Schizosaccharomyces pombe: one gene and its partner. The protein of the gene in region 2 interacts with the protein of the main gene of each other region in a biochemical or structural test. Each region holds a gene or a part of one and is shown on either strand. Other genes may lie near its edges.

Region 1 (5,870 bases), on a different chromosome or scaffold from region 2:
AAAGCTAGTATGTCTTCAGACAGTTTCCAACGGCAGCTAGTTCAGCGAACTAATACTTTAAATTCGTCTATTGACAATGCTACACTAACTATTTTGTCAAGGTTTCAAGACATACTGGATATTGCTATAAATGAAGGCAAAGATAAATATACGGTAGCACCAGAGGTTTACCAGATTGAATGCCATACTGTGTCCATGGTTCGCGCGGTAGAACAGTTACTGGATGTTTCTCGACAAATTAAATCATATTGGCTCACTAATTCTCTTTCCACGTCTTTTCCGACTGTCGATTACAGCGAGCCTGATCTTGAGAAAGTTAAAAGAACTCTTACTAAACTACAAAATCATTTACTGGAAGTCAGTTTAATTGAACCAGAAGCATCAGAAACAACTGAGGCTCCCACTGTTTCTGACACTTGAGTTAACTCACATAAATTATTTTTTGCCAATTAAACCAAATGTCAAAATTTAATGATACATCTATCTGAAAAATAATAGTTTGCCTAAATATTTCATTATGAAGGAAATCACTTAAGTTAAAGAGCCAAAATCTTACTAAATACGAAAAGCCTAATGGAGGAGCACATAATTAAAGGATTAAAAATTGGGTTAACCCAACCGGAGAATGGCTCCATTTGAAGTACTAAACAACAACTGGTGTAACTCATTTAACCAAACCAAATTAGAAATAGAGGAAACATGGGTTTGACTCATACATCTCCAAGACTTTGAAGATTTGACATAAATATGTACATAGAGAGTCTCCCCATCCGAACTTACCAAAAGTTGACTAGTAATATCTAATGACACTGCTGCGACTTTGGTTTGTAGGGGTATTTTTTGAACAAGCTCAGATTTTCTTAAGTCCCAAATGAAAATGTCAGAGTCATCATTAGTTGTTACTACAAGCCAATAACCGTTTTCACCAAATTGTAATGTTTTAACTGGACTTGAATGTGGTCCAAATTTTGTAAGCTCATTTCCCGAGGAAGTCTCAAAAAAGCGTAACTCGCCATTCTCTAACCCAGCGACAAAGAGGTTACCGTCCGGATGTACAGCAAGAGATGTAATGTGTTGAGCAACGGTGATATTATAAACCTGGGATTTCAGGGAGAAAATATAACACTTTTCGTTTGATGCTGCTAATAAATATTCCCCACTTGGATGAGCTTGAAGGAAGTTCACCTTTTCGTCTATAGGAATGGACGAAGTAGGTTCACCCACACTTTGTAAACCAGATGAGGAAACAGGAAATTCAAAAATTGAAATGGCATCAGCAGTAGCGACAGCAATCTTGGAAGAAGTCAACCAACAACACGCTAAAGCTGATCCTTCAAAAATTTTGAGAGTACTGTTGGATTGGATATCTAGACATAAAAGTTCATCCTTATGAAGACATAATACAAAAGAAGAATTTTCAGGGGACGGGAAGAAAGACGTAGTGCTTTCTGTTTCCAAATTTTCTAAGATAGTAGAAGGAGTAGCTTGCAAGAGCTGACTCACAGCATCGTCAGTCGCCCATTTAGGTTGTAACTTTGTACGTTTCCTTTTGGAAGAAAGTTCTTGAAATGTTTTTTCCACCGTAGAGCGTAAGCTAGTTTTAAGCTGGTCATCACTTTCGCCCATCTCTACCTCTTGTACTTCAATAGTTTTCGAGGAAACAGTGCCTATGTTATCGGAAAATTTCGCCAATGCTTCTCTAGCTTCGTCTCTTTCTTTGGTAAGCCGAGATATAACTCTTAACGCAGCATCTAGCGAATACAATGCCGTTGATAACTCCTGCTTCGTCTCTGTAAGATTTCTTCTAAGTTCAAATTGCTCAAGCGCGACAGAATCCCATTCTTCTTGAAAGAGAGACAGCAATGCAGGCAATGAAGTGGCAGAAGGAGGTCGAGGTCTAACAAAATCAGGTACTGTTTAAAGGTTAGCAATTATCTTCGATTTGATTCGCTTTATATGTGAATGGTCAGTACAATCAAAATATAGTAAATATAAATCGCATTGGAGAGCAAAAACCAAAAAAAATCTAAAGTATTAATACATTTTCCTCAACAACTCCACATTAATTTTGATAAAGATTTGTTTTGATAAATCCGACAAGGTTGTTCTATAATTCTCTAAAAACCTTCCTAATTTCTGCCCCGAGATATTGACATGCACTAAATAGTCCACTTTTTAAGGAGAAATATAAAGCTGTAAAATTAAAAAATTTCGAGTACAAATCAATCATGCAATAAAATACATTATCAACAAAAAAAAGAAAATAAACGAGTTCTTCAACCAATATTGCAGGGTTTTACTTTCCAAACCAATTTCAGAATATTCAGTACTCCACGTATAAAAAAATAAGTGCTACTTGAAATTCTTAACCATTCAATAATAAAGAAGGAAATCTTACCCTTTACAGGAACCAAGTCCTCCAACGTGCATTCCTGTTGAGTAACAGGGTCTTTAGACGTTTCACGAATAACTTGTTCAATCAAGCGCTTCTCGTAAACATTTCCTACATTCAGTCAGACAGGGAAATTATTGTACAAACATACCACTTACACGAGAAATCACCGGTTCTTTTGGCGTTTCTCCACTGATTGAGCAAAACATTCGGCACACGTTGGTTTCTGTGTGTAATAGCTAGAGGAAAGCAATGCATAGCCAACTAATCGTTTACTGCACTATACCAATATCCGTATATAATATAAGGCAAATGCGATGCATTTTGCAAATAATTTTCTAGTTAGTAGTGCAAATGTACGTACAAGGCATAGTAGGGTTTCAGTACCTCTCGTCTTCATAAATCTACTGGACCATTACGAGACTGGATAGAATTGGAGATAATTTACTTAAAATCACTACAGATTCCCATAAATTGTCCCTCTCTTCTAGCTACTCACGAACTGTTGCATCATGGATAATACATCTCTACTAACCCGTGGAGGTGAGATTTACAGCAGGAAGAAAGGGAAGAAGCAAAGATTGGAGGAGATCGTCTTTGATAAAGAGAAGCGAAAGTATGGATATCATAAAGGGATTGCTACTAACTTGTTACAGAGAGTATTTAACTGGATTTCATAAACGCAAAGTTGAACGACGAAAGCATGCTCAAGTTCAATTGGAGCAGCAAAAACGCGAAGAACGTTTAGCGTTGAGGAAATCTGTAAGTTTTTCTAATACTATCTTGAGTATATCACTAACACTATTCAGCTCAGAGAACAGCGCAAAAGAGAACTGGCTGAGCGATTAGCATTCTCTAAAGAGTTGAATAGCTCGCTAGAAAATGATGAAGAATCTTCACAGCAAGAAGATTCCTCATCTAAATCTGACAGCGAGGAAGAGTCATCAATGGAGCCTAAAACTACTGAGTATGACGAAGATGATAAGCATGTTACGGTAGAAATTGTAGAGGACGATGATGATGAAGAAATTGCTTATCCTAAAGAAGGTTTTGTCACGCCTCGTATTTCTCCTCCACCAGATGTTCCTTTGCGTCCCCACAAGCCTAAAAATGCCGCCAAAAAGAAATTTCGGTATGAGAGCAAATTTGAACGTACACAGGACAGAAGAAAAGAAAAAATACGTCGTTTAAAGAAGAAAATAAGACGTTAAATTAGGAACTTCAAGCACACGTTGTTTGACGCATCTTGCCCTTTTTTTATATTTATGAATATGGTTGGTATAAAATGATATTTGAATTCAATTGTCCATTCGTTTTTCAGGTTGAGAATTTTTGGAAGTTAACAAACTACTTTACAAGAGATCATTACATATACGGAGTTTTTCTTGGTCTGATATATGCATTTCAGCCTTTTTCAATTTTTTGTTCACAGTTTTGATTAAGGTGTTTGTACATGCGCAAAAAATTTGTACTCAATAAGCGGTAAGCTAGATTTTAGCACGATTTATATTTTTTTATTATGTTTAAAACCCGTAAATTTTAGAGATACTCTACATTTATATATTCCTTTGGATTTTAGTATATTAGCGAAATTCACTAGAATACCGAGTTTGATCTTTGTCAGAACACAAACCACGTCTGGTAATGTGGTAAACAAAAAAATATTAAAAAGAAGACTGCAACAGCTTTTATTTCATTAGCGTTGATCATGTTCTCAATAATAACATGTCTTCTTCAATAAACGGATTAAATGAGAGTGAAGGGTCAACGCCTTTAAGCACTGCATCTATCATTGGCTCAAGTGAGCAATTGTACATGACTCATGATGAACGATACCTAGACGTCCTTCAACAATACGAAGTTGAGACTGAAAATAAGCGTGACTTTGATTTGGAAGAAGAACAATGGGGCGTTCTTAGTGGCTCTTGTGTGGATGGAACTTACTGGAGTGCAGAAGAAAAAGAACTGTTTTTTCAAGCGGTTGCTCGAAATGGGAAAAGAGATTTAGATTTGATAGCTTACTCCATTCCTTCTAAAAGCGCTGTGCAGATCGAGCGTTACATAAATGCCTTAGAGAATGAGCTACGTTGGCTTCGTAATCACGTAGACGCATCCGTGCGCAGTCAATGTTTGTTGAAATATGAAGATATACCTATTGCAATGGAAATGAGTCAGAATTGGATTGATTGGGAAGAAAAAATTGCGGAAAGACTTCTTGAGGGTTCGAATATCTCAGGGGTTGAAACTTCACACTATAATGCGCAAAGTGTCAAAAACAAAACCTCAAATGAGGATTTATTTGATACAAATGAGATGAGAAAGATTTCTGAACGGTTTTATCATTTCGATCGACAAGCGCCTTTTCCAAGCAATCCACTTTCTGCTGGCGCTACGGAGTTTTTATTACAAATCATTAAAAGCAAGTTGAAGGAATTAATCGGAACATCTATATTTTTGGCGGAGTCTAGGTTTAGGAAACTAGAGGCTAACAATGCCTTTCATAGAAAACCTATTATCAAGAATAGAGACGTTGTTCTGTCAGGCAAATTTTTACGATTTCACCGATTCAATATACCCGGATTTTGGAAGTATTTACCCACTAGACAAAAGATGAATGTTTACAAAAGAAACAAACGTCTCAAATTTCAAAATTATATACACATAATGGAATCTGATGAAAGACAATCAAAACTGAAATTAGGACGAGTCAGAGCACGGAAGACAAAAAATAACGAAAACACCATGTTTTTTGATTCTAAGGAACATTCGACAGATGAAAGCGATGGTAACCTTGGAGAACATGATGTAAAGCGCAAGGTAGATTCTGTACCCGCCGATGAGACTAGCATCAATGGTTTTAAGAAATCTGTTAATCAGGCTGAGTATCCTGATAATGCTCAAATGTTCATGGATGAAAGTGTCGCAGAAGAAAGTCTTGTGGAAATTGATGACAGCGTCGAAGCCTACGACATGATTCAATCCAAAAACTACGAAAGCTTTGTTTGGAAATATGTGCTGCATTTAACCGATGAGATGTCGACAGAGGACGCTCTTTTTGAAACTATACCACTTAGTAATTTGCTGGCTCAAAAGCGAATGAAAGACAAGTTAAAAGGTTCCGACGTGTTTACGACTCTTAAAATAACTTCCAAGAGCTTGCACAACATTGACGAACATTCCGATAGTGATGATGAAGTTCAACCTATATGTTATTATTACAAGGATCCAGTTGTTTCCCATGCCCCGGGTGCAGCTGAAGTCGTATCTGAACTTGAAAGCGGATATGTAGGGTTAATATCCTATGATTTGTCTAATCTTCCAAATAGTACAGAAGATCCTGAAAGGAAACTTGCAAAACCTGTCTCTTCTTGGGAGTTGTCACTCCCTTTAAAATAGATGTCTTCATTTTCGAACTACAGTCTTGAAGCCTTTACAAAAACATAAATTGTTTTTTAGCGCTGCCTCTGTGTTGGATAGC
Region 2 (8,946 bases):
GCGTTTTCCTCAGCGAAAGTCTCTGATATGTACTTGTCGGCTGATGAAAGAAACCGGCTCGAGGATTTTAGCAAAGGCGACAGAGGCCTTTCATTTGTTAACCTTTCTCCAAATATAAAAGCAACGTCTTACGATCGATTGAGCACAGTAATAAATGAACCCTTTATTTCAAGAAGTTCTTCCTTGACTGATGAACGGGGTTTGGCCGATTCGGGCAATTCCTATCATCATTTCTCCGACTCCGACGATGAATCACTATTCAATGATGGATTGGGCCTTTCTTTTCATGCCAATAGTGCAATTATTAAGCAACGCCAGCAAAATGTTGCATCAATTCAGCGTTACGGTAATGAAAGTTACTTATCAAATTTTTTAAAAGCTTTTCTTCCGAAAACGGTTTGCGACTATCTTTTTCCTTCTTCTACTATTCCCGATGGACTTCCCGCTTTAATTGAAAACTTCAATGCGCGAGTTGATAAGGTGAATCATCCCGGTGGAACAGAAGAGCCTCTTCCTTACCAGGGAAAGTCGCGTGCTTCTTCTGTAGTTACCTCTTCCAAAAGCACATGTATTTTACCACCTTGGATTCTCTTCTCTGATTCATTTAATCAGCTTGTATGTACTTTTCTGGGAAAATTACTCTTTCAAATGCTAAATGATGAGGGTGTGGATTCGCCTATGCAATGGGTACTTTGTCTCCCAAAAATTCTTTTAAAAATGGCTTTGGATCTAGGTCCTGATATTCGCTCTGGTGATGATATTGATGTCCGCAGCTATGTAAAAATAAAAAAGATTCCCGGGGGAAGCATTCAAGATTGTTTTCTTGTTAATGGTGTTTTGTTCTCAAAAAAAGCTTCGTCCAAATCTATGGACCGCTCGCTTCGTCGGCCTCGTATAGCTCTTTTAACTTTCAGTTTAGACTACGCTTGTGACGAACAGAGAATTTTATCCTTGGATTTAATCATCTCTCAGCAAGAAGAGTATATTATAAATCTTGTCAATAGAATCTGCATGCTTAAACCGAATCTAGTTTTTGCTCAGGGTCAAATCCCCAGTATTGCCTTGAAGTACTTTGAAGAACATGGCGTTATAGCCTTTCATGGACTTAAAGAATCAGTTTTATATGACATAGCTAGATGTTGTCGTGCAGACATAATATCGTCAATAGATAAATTGTCGCTTTGTCCTCGTCTTGGTACTTGCGGCAGGTTTCAACTCAGAACGTATGTTGTCGATGAAAACAAAGGGTTGAGGAAAACGTTTGCTATACTTGATCGCTGCTCGGAACGTTTAGGCTGCACCATAGTTCTAAGAGGAGCTGATTATAATCAGTTGAGCAAGGTCAAGAAGATTGTCGAACTTGTTGTTTTGATTGCATATCATATCAAACTTGAATGTGCCTTGTTAAGAGACAAATTTGTGAATATGCCGGAGCTTTTTGAAACAACCTATCAAAGTTTGTCTAGGAAATCGTTGCCTTCGTTTGCCTCTACTGCAGCTGATAAAGAGAAAAGCCAAAATCATGAAAAAAAATCTCTGAACAGTGATAATCAAAGTTTGCGACCTTTGGAAAATGAAAATCAAAGTGTTTCTAGCACCCAAGGTAGCAACAGCCCGCTTGAGTTGATCAATAACTTACCAGCCTCAGATGACTATTCTTCTATTACCAAGGCTTTGAAAACCAGATTTTTAACGTTTTCACCCTTTTTATCAAAGCCTCTTCCACGTTTATTAAACCAAGTTAATTATTACCAGTTTATTCGTAACAAATTACTGAAAGATGTGAAGTTACATCCATACTCACCAACTGGCTCATTCGTAATGAAGCAGTCCGAAAATGACAATGTAGAAGAAAGTTACGAAGAGTCCTATAAATTCTTTTGTATTGATGAACGTTATCATTTTTTAGAAAAGCAGTGGACACTTTATTACTCTCATTCAAAACTCATGTTTTCTCCATTTTCTTCTCAAAGGATTATTTTGTTATATTCCATTATTAACAAGGAAACTTCTGTTCCTTGTATTGGCCCTGAACGTTGTCTATTAGAATTTTATCGAGAAACTGATTGCACTCTTGGTCAGTACATAGAGGACTCATGCTTGAATACCAATGTAAGTTGTGGAGGTGAGTATTGTAAAACGAATGATATGCTGTGGCATTACAGGAGTTATGTTCATGGAAATAGTCGGATCAGCGTTTTTTTGGAATCTTTTTCGTGCCCTGTCCCTGGTTTGGAAGAAAAGATAATTATGTGGAGTTACTGCAAATTCTGTAAAAAGAATACACACATTACTGTTATGTCTGAAGAAACATGGAAATATTCGTTTGGAAAATATCTTGAATTCATGTTCTATAATTCTCAAATAAGGGATCGCTTCGAATTCTGTGACCACAGTGTTATGGCACAACATGTTCATTATTTCGGTTATTGCAACATGGCTTTACGATTTCAAAGAGACCTAATAGAGATTTTTGAACTCTTCGTTCCATCGGTCACTTTACGAAATAATCCATCATATATTAAAGAGCTGAAAGAAAAGGAGTATAAACGTTTAAAAGGTGTCATTGAAAAATGCTTGTCTTCTGTTGCTTCAAGGATAAACCAAATAAAGTGCGATTGGGTTACTGATCCTGAGAAATTTGAGTCTTGTACATCTGAAATTTCAAAATTTCGCACTTTACTTTCAAGTGACTATACTGAATTGTATTCTGAATTTGATTCAATTTATCTTAATTCCTCAACTTCTGATTATTTATCACTAAACTCAATCCTGCGCGTCCTCCAGGGTAAAATGGTAAAATGGGAACAGCGCTTTCTTGACTATCAACGGCTGTATCTTCCATCTTACAAAGAGTTAAGTAAAATAGCAGCCGCTCAAATTAAGAAAGTGTTTCTGGAACGTCCATTAAGCCAAACCCCTTTAGATTTGCCAGAGACACTTGAGAATACTCAAATTGATATATATCCCTCCTTTAAAACTGAATCCACTGATGATCAACTCGAGAAAGTTACCCAAACTAATGTTGCTTCAAACAAGCGTGTTGCTCCGTATGCAGATAGTATGGCAAATGTTGGTTCTCCAGAATCTGATTGCTTTTCAGTAGCAACATCTTCCGATATTCCTAAAGCCAACATCGATTTTACCAATGATATTTCTACTCAGAACACTTTTCCAGCTTCTCCGGTCTCAAATTCAGGTTTCAGTAGACAAACGTATCCAAATATAAGCCAAAGACAAGGCGTTAATATGCTTTCTCATAAGCGGAAAAGTGCTAGTACCAGTGACAGGCGATTTGTCAATGCATCTTCAACAAGTGGGATGAACATGCCTATTTCTTCTTCAATATCTGCAAAAATTTCCAGTATACAGAATTCTACAAAATACTCACCCAGGAAGCCCATTCCAGCAAAAGATGTGCGGGTTAGCTCTTTAGTGCGTAGATTTGAAGAGCTAAGTTTACAATTACAAGAAAAGCAAAAACGAGATGAAGAATTAATAAAGGCTCGACGCAAGCGGGCTCTTCCTGTAGTCCCATCTAAGCCGGTAGTAGAAGTATTTAATGACCTTAATGAAGCATTTGATGATGAAAATTCCGAAGATGAGAATGGCATTAATGACACAAAAGAAAATCGCGCTACCGAAAGCAATTTTTCTGGAGTTGATTCTATGAGCAAGGAGCGAGAAAATGTTTCTTCGAATGAAGACAATTCACCTGAAGCGTTTGAAGATATTTTTGGAATTCTTTTCAAAAATGAATCTGGCCTCGAAGAACAGCAAAACCTTGAACCTTCTAGTCAAATGGATAAAGAGGGATCAAAGTTGCCAACTTCTGGTCCTTTGGCTGACAAAACTTCAGTTTACAGGATTTTATCTGCATTTTGGAATGAATGGAACTCCCTCAATCCTCCACCTTTTGAATTTCCTCTACAACCTACAGAGCATATGTTTTCCGACTCAAATGTGATCATAAGGGAAGACGAACCTAGCTCCTTGATAAGTTTTACTCTTAGCTCTCCTGACTATTTATCAAAAATGGTAGAAATTGAAGATAGCATGGACGAAGCTTTAACCAATCAAGGCTTACAAGGCTCGACGCAATTCAAAATTGAAAACTTAATGCTCAAACCAACGGGGACGCATTTGAAATACCAGTTTGAAGAAGGATCAGCAAGACTATCCTGTAAGGTCTTTTTCGCGGAACAATTTAGTGCTTTGCGAAGAGCTTGTGGCTGTGAGGAGACGTTTGTGACATCTCTAGCGAGATGTTCTCTTTGGGAATCTAGCGGTGGAAAATCTGGATCAGCATTTTTAAAAACTTTCGATAAGAAATACATTCTCAAAGTTCTGTCAAGGTTGGAAAGTGACTCCTTGCTTAATTTTGCTCCAGCTTATTTTGATTACATATCTAAAGTTTTCTTTCACGAGTTGCCAACTGCATTGACTAAAATCTTTGGATTTTACCGCGTAGACATTCGAAATCCTACTACTGGTACAATCTGTAAGACTGATATAATGATTATGGAAAATGTATTTTATGATGAATGTCCGTCTAGAATATTTGATCTTAAAGGTTCCATGAGGAATCGACATGTAGAATCTACAGGGAAGGTAGATGAAGTATTGCTTGATGAAAATTTGGTTGAACTTATTTACGAATCTCCAATATTTGTTAGTGAACAACTAAAAAGTCTTTTGCATTCTTGCCTTTGGAATGATACATTGTTCCTCTCAAAACTCAATATCATGGATTACTCTTTAATTGTTGGTATTGATTATACAAAAAAAGAACTTTATGTTGGAATAATTGATTTCATACGAACATACACTTGGGACAAAAAACTTGAAAGTTGGGTAAAGGAGAAAGGCTTAGTTGGTAGAGGTCCTGAACCAACAATTGTTACTCCAAAGCAATACAAAAATAGATTCCGAAAGGCTATGGATTGCTATATTTTAGCATCTCAGGATTTTGAGACTGGGGAAGGTTTTAAGTTTTGCGAATAGAAGAAACGTTAGTTTAATGTATATATTTCGCTGTTTGGTCAAGAAATATGAACAATCTTTTTAATCCCAGTATTTGATAGACCCATCAACTATAGATGATGTAGCTACCTTGCTTGTTTCTTGAGGGTGGAACGCCATGCTTTGTACGGGTCCACTATGAGCCGGGAGTTTAGCCATTAGCTTACAGGTTTTCCAATCTAAAAATGTTAGGTGTTTTTCCAATTCCAAGCACTTACCCCAGAAACAGGCATTTCCGCTCGAATCTCCGCTAAAAACAAATCTCCCTAAAACTAGTTAGAAATTCGTAATAAAAAATGAACGCCATACCATCAGGTGAAAATCCAACTTCTAGGCTATAACCTGAACAACTGTATCCCTTAAAGACCTTCTTTTTGTTTTGTCTATATTTCTCGTATGCCGAATATACGTAAATGCAGTTATCTAGAGATTGACATGCTATCGACTTTCCATTTGGCCGTAAGGCAACCCGAGGCATTGAATGCATTGCAATGTCAGCCACAAATTTTATAGGAACTGGAGTTCCGTATTCCCAAAATCGCATTGAAGAGTCATCAGATGTGGTAACGAAGCGCTTTCCGTTTTCAAGGAATGTTATGGAATTGATTCCGCCGAGATGATGATCGTATGCTTGAACAATATCAGGACTTCTGATATCAAATTGAAGGATCCTTTTGTCAGCTGTTCCTGCTAAAAACTCGTTGGGTTTATCAGGATCTACTTGGAATTTGACGCAGTTTGTTAATCTATCTGAATTAAAGCAGTTCAAACATTTCCCTAATTCGGTATCCCAGAGTTTAATTGTTTTATCAAAACTAGTACTTAAGAATGATCGTCCATCTTGGCTAAATGATAAATCGCGGATAGGACGAGCGTGTCCTTGGAATGTACGAAGCAAAGAACGGTCATGGTAAACTTCCCAAATCTAAATATTAGTTTATCATCTTTTTGCTTACAAACATACCTTTATCTGATTATCCATTGAGCCAGAAAGAAGTAAATGGCCACTAATCGGAAAAAACCTAAGGCAGGAAATACCTTTCGTATGACCTTTCCAAGTGAATATATGCTTCTTTGGAATGTAACAAGTTTGTTCACCAGGCTCTTCCGATAAATTTATTCCGACGTCATTCGGGACATGCATATAGCTTCTATTTTGATAATCAAATAATCTATCTTTATGAAGTATAGTCTCTTCTTTAGAGCGATGAGTTTCAACTTCTGGAGTAGCTAATTGTTCCTTCAATAATTCATTTTGACCCAGGTTATTAGATTCCGTATCCTTTTCACTTTTGACATCCAGGGATTCAACCTCTTCATATTCACTGTACTCCAAAGGTGAAGAGGATTGTTCAGAACCGTATCCGGCCCATGGCCCCTTATAAGCACCATCCCCTTCAAGGATAGATGGATCGCCAGGATCCTCTCTACGTTCTTTTATTTTCTGGGACTTCCTTTTTAAATCTGTAGAAGTAGTAGCTTCGTTATCATCAAAATTTCGTTTTCCATAAATAGCATGTGTATTAGCATAATATTCTTGATTAAATACAAAATTTGGAACATATTCCCTCTCAGCATAACCGGTAATACTGTTCTTTATAGAATCCTGTTCTTTAGTGACAAATGGATTTGCAGGCCCTAAAGCAGGCTGCACCATTTCATTAACCGGGACATTACGCGCTAATTCTCTAGAGTTTCCTCCCTTTGAAACAATTAAATCATCCTTTACCTAAAATGATTAGCATGTTATAAAAAACATTTGATAAATACGTTATCAACCACAGCTGGCGCTAAATTTTCAGTATGCAGAAGAGGTTGGATGTTAGGCGATTGGGAATTCTCCTGTTCTTCTGAATCACTAGAATAGTTTGCAACCAACATAGAAATTGCAAACGGCGAATATGAAACCAGCAAATTCGTATGGTAATGGTTTAAGGAAGATTAAGCTGTAGGGAGGTTTAGCGAGGATGAGAGATTCCTGGCTAATATCAATTAGCGAAAATGAAACACTACAGCTAACTCATACTTCTGCTTATTAGGATAGGTAATAGATAATTCATTGATTAAAAAATAAAGGAATGTAGTAAAAACTAGAAATAAAGTTAGTTATTTAAAGAGGCATGGACTTTTTTAAACTGTAAAAGAAGTTATCCAGTAGTGCATATACACGACGTATGATAAATAGTATTTAATTGAAGTTTGTTTGCTCACATAAGCTCATGACTTTAAAAATTTCATTTTGGTACGATAGTTTACCCCTTTAGTAAATTCATTTTCTAGTGTACTCACAGTATTTTTTGTGTTTGCAAGGCTAGGACAGAGAACCTGTGTAAGTCTAATTTTTTGAAATTATAAATTTTTTAAGAGTTTTTGTTGATTAAACTTTTTCTTGAAGAAAGCTTTGAAAAGCAAGCTTTGTCAATTCAAATTCAAGAATTGGTTTAGTAGATTTAGCTTCTAATTTAACGAAGGGCTTTTGGACATCATAAAGGGTTACTTTGTTACTTTCAATTGTACTAAAATTAAAAGCGACGCACCTATGCATCCTCAGTTGTGAAAACAGCATTCTGGTTTCTGAATTTTTTCAATAAAAAGAATTTTATGTTGAAAAAATGTGGATAATTGAGGCTGAGGGTGACATTCTAAAAGGTATCTCTTACTAGCTATATCAATTTCATTATGGCCGTATTGTACGTACTAAACAGCAGGAAAATCACGGATACTATTTCCAGGAACTTATATTGTAGGTCGAAATGTATCTGGTAAGTTTCTTATTTTTGTTAATTTTCTAATATTGCAGACGATTCGTCCCACATTCAAGTGATTTCTAAATCAATTAGTAAACGCCATGCTCGTTTTACGATTTTGACCCCAAGTGAGAAAGACTACGTACGTATCCAATTAAATGGAAATATTGAGCTTTTCATTTTTCATTTCTATTATATGTTTATCTTTCTTATATTTTAAATCAATGCCAGCTAATATGTGCACAGTTTACCGGTGGCCCATGCGAGTTTGAAGTAAAGGACCTCGATACGAAGTTTGGAACCAAGGTTAATGAAAAAGTTGTTGGTCAAAATGGTGATTCTTACAAAGAAAAAGATCTTAAAATACAACTGGGTAAATGTCCATTCACGATAAAGTAAGTTTTATCGACTATATATGATTTACTAACTTTAAGTGCATACTGGAGAAGTATGTGTATACAATTCGATAACCCTGAAATGTTATCCCAGTGGGCTTCAAATTTAAACCTCTTAGGTACTTCGGTCTTTTTTTTTTTCACTTCTTATCAACTTTCAGGTATACCGACTGGACTACGCGATAGCGATGCTACTACCCACTTTGTTATGAACAGACAAGCTGGGTCCAGTATAACTGTTGGAACTATGTATGCTTTTCTTAAAAAAACTGTAATTATAGATGATAGCTATCTTCAGTACCTATCAACTGTTAAAGAATCCGTAATTGAAGACGCCAGCCTAATGCCAGATGCGCTTGAATGTTTTAAAAATATCATAAAGAACAACGATCAATTCCCGTCATCTCCTGAAGACTGCATAAATTCATTAGAAGGATTCAGTTGCGCCATGTTAAATACGTCGAGTGAGTCCCACCACTTATTGGAGTTATTGGGTTTGAGGATATCGACCTTTATGAGTCTTGGGGATATAGACAAGGAATTGATTTCAAAAACGGATTTCGTTGTATTAAACAACGCAGTATATGACTCTGAGAAGATTTCTTTCCCAGAAGGTATCTTTTGTTTAACTATTGAGCAGCTATGGAAGATAATCATTGAAAGGAATTCAAGGGAACTAATCTCAAAAGAAATTGAGAGGTTAAAGTATGCTACTGCTTCTAATTCAACCCCCCAAAAAATTATTCAACCCCAACGCCATATCCAAAAGAACATCGTTGATG

Evidence for each region. The genes of interacting proteins can lie anywhere in the genome.
Region 1: the proteins of prp17 (region 2) and prp19 form a complex in vitro, tested with the Schizosaccharomyces pombe proteins (one study listed by BioGRID).

What each region holds. Positions count from the first base shown.
Region 1 is NC_003424.3:5,129,973-5,135,842, reverse strand, and holds prp19 (Prp19 complex subunit, ubiquitin-protein ligase E4 Prp19), read right to left. Parts: upstream 2,621-5,870; 5' UTR 2,602-2,620; coding exon 2,544-2,601; exon of another isoform or gene 2,504-2,543; coding exon 2,399-2,503; intron 2,060-2,398; exon of another isoform or gene 1,914-2,059; coding exon 610-1,913; 3' UTR 501-609; downstream 1-500. Other genes in the region: srb6 (mediator complex subunit Med22), read left to right, coding at 10-420; rRNA exonuclease Rrp17, read left to right, coding at 2,905-3,008, 3,049-3,154, 3,202-3,603; RNA polymerase I upstream activation factor complex subunit Rrn5, read left to right, coding at 4,118-5,788. UniProt on the Schizosaccharomyces pombe protein: Probable ubiquitin-protein ligase involved in pre-mRNA splicing. May also function in DNA repair.
Region 2 is NC_003423.3:2,649,603-2,658,548, reverse strand, and holds the start of prp17 (Prp19 complex WD repeat protein Prp17), read right to left. Parts: upstream 6,956-8,946; 5' UTR 6,904-6,955; coding exon 6,793-6,903; exon of another isoform or gene 6,752-6,792; coding exon 5,987-6,751; exon of another isoform or gene 5,948-5,986; coding exon 5,332-5,947; exon of another isoform or gene 5,289-5,331; coding exon 5,241-5,288; exon of another isoform or gene 5,202-5,240; coding exon 5,065-5,201; 3' UTR 5,005-5,064; coding exon of another isoform or gene 1-5,004. Other genes in the region: 1-phosphatidylinositol-3-phosphate 5-kinase Fab1, read left to right, coding at 1-5,004; Mre11 complex BRCT domain subunit Nbs1, read left to right, coding at 7,635-7,671, 7,731-7,784, 7,823-7,911, 8,016-8,164, 8,204-8,283, 8,326-8,946.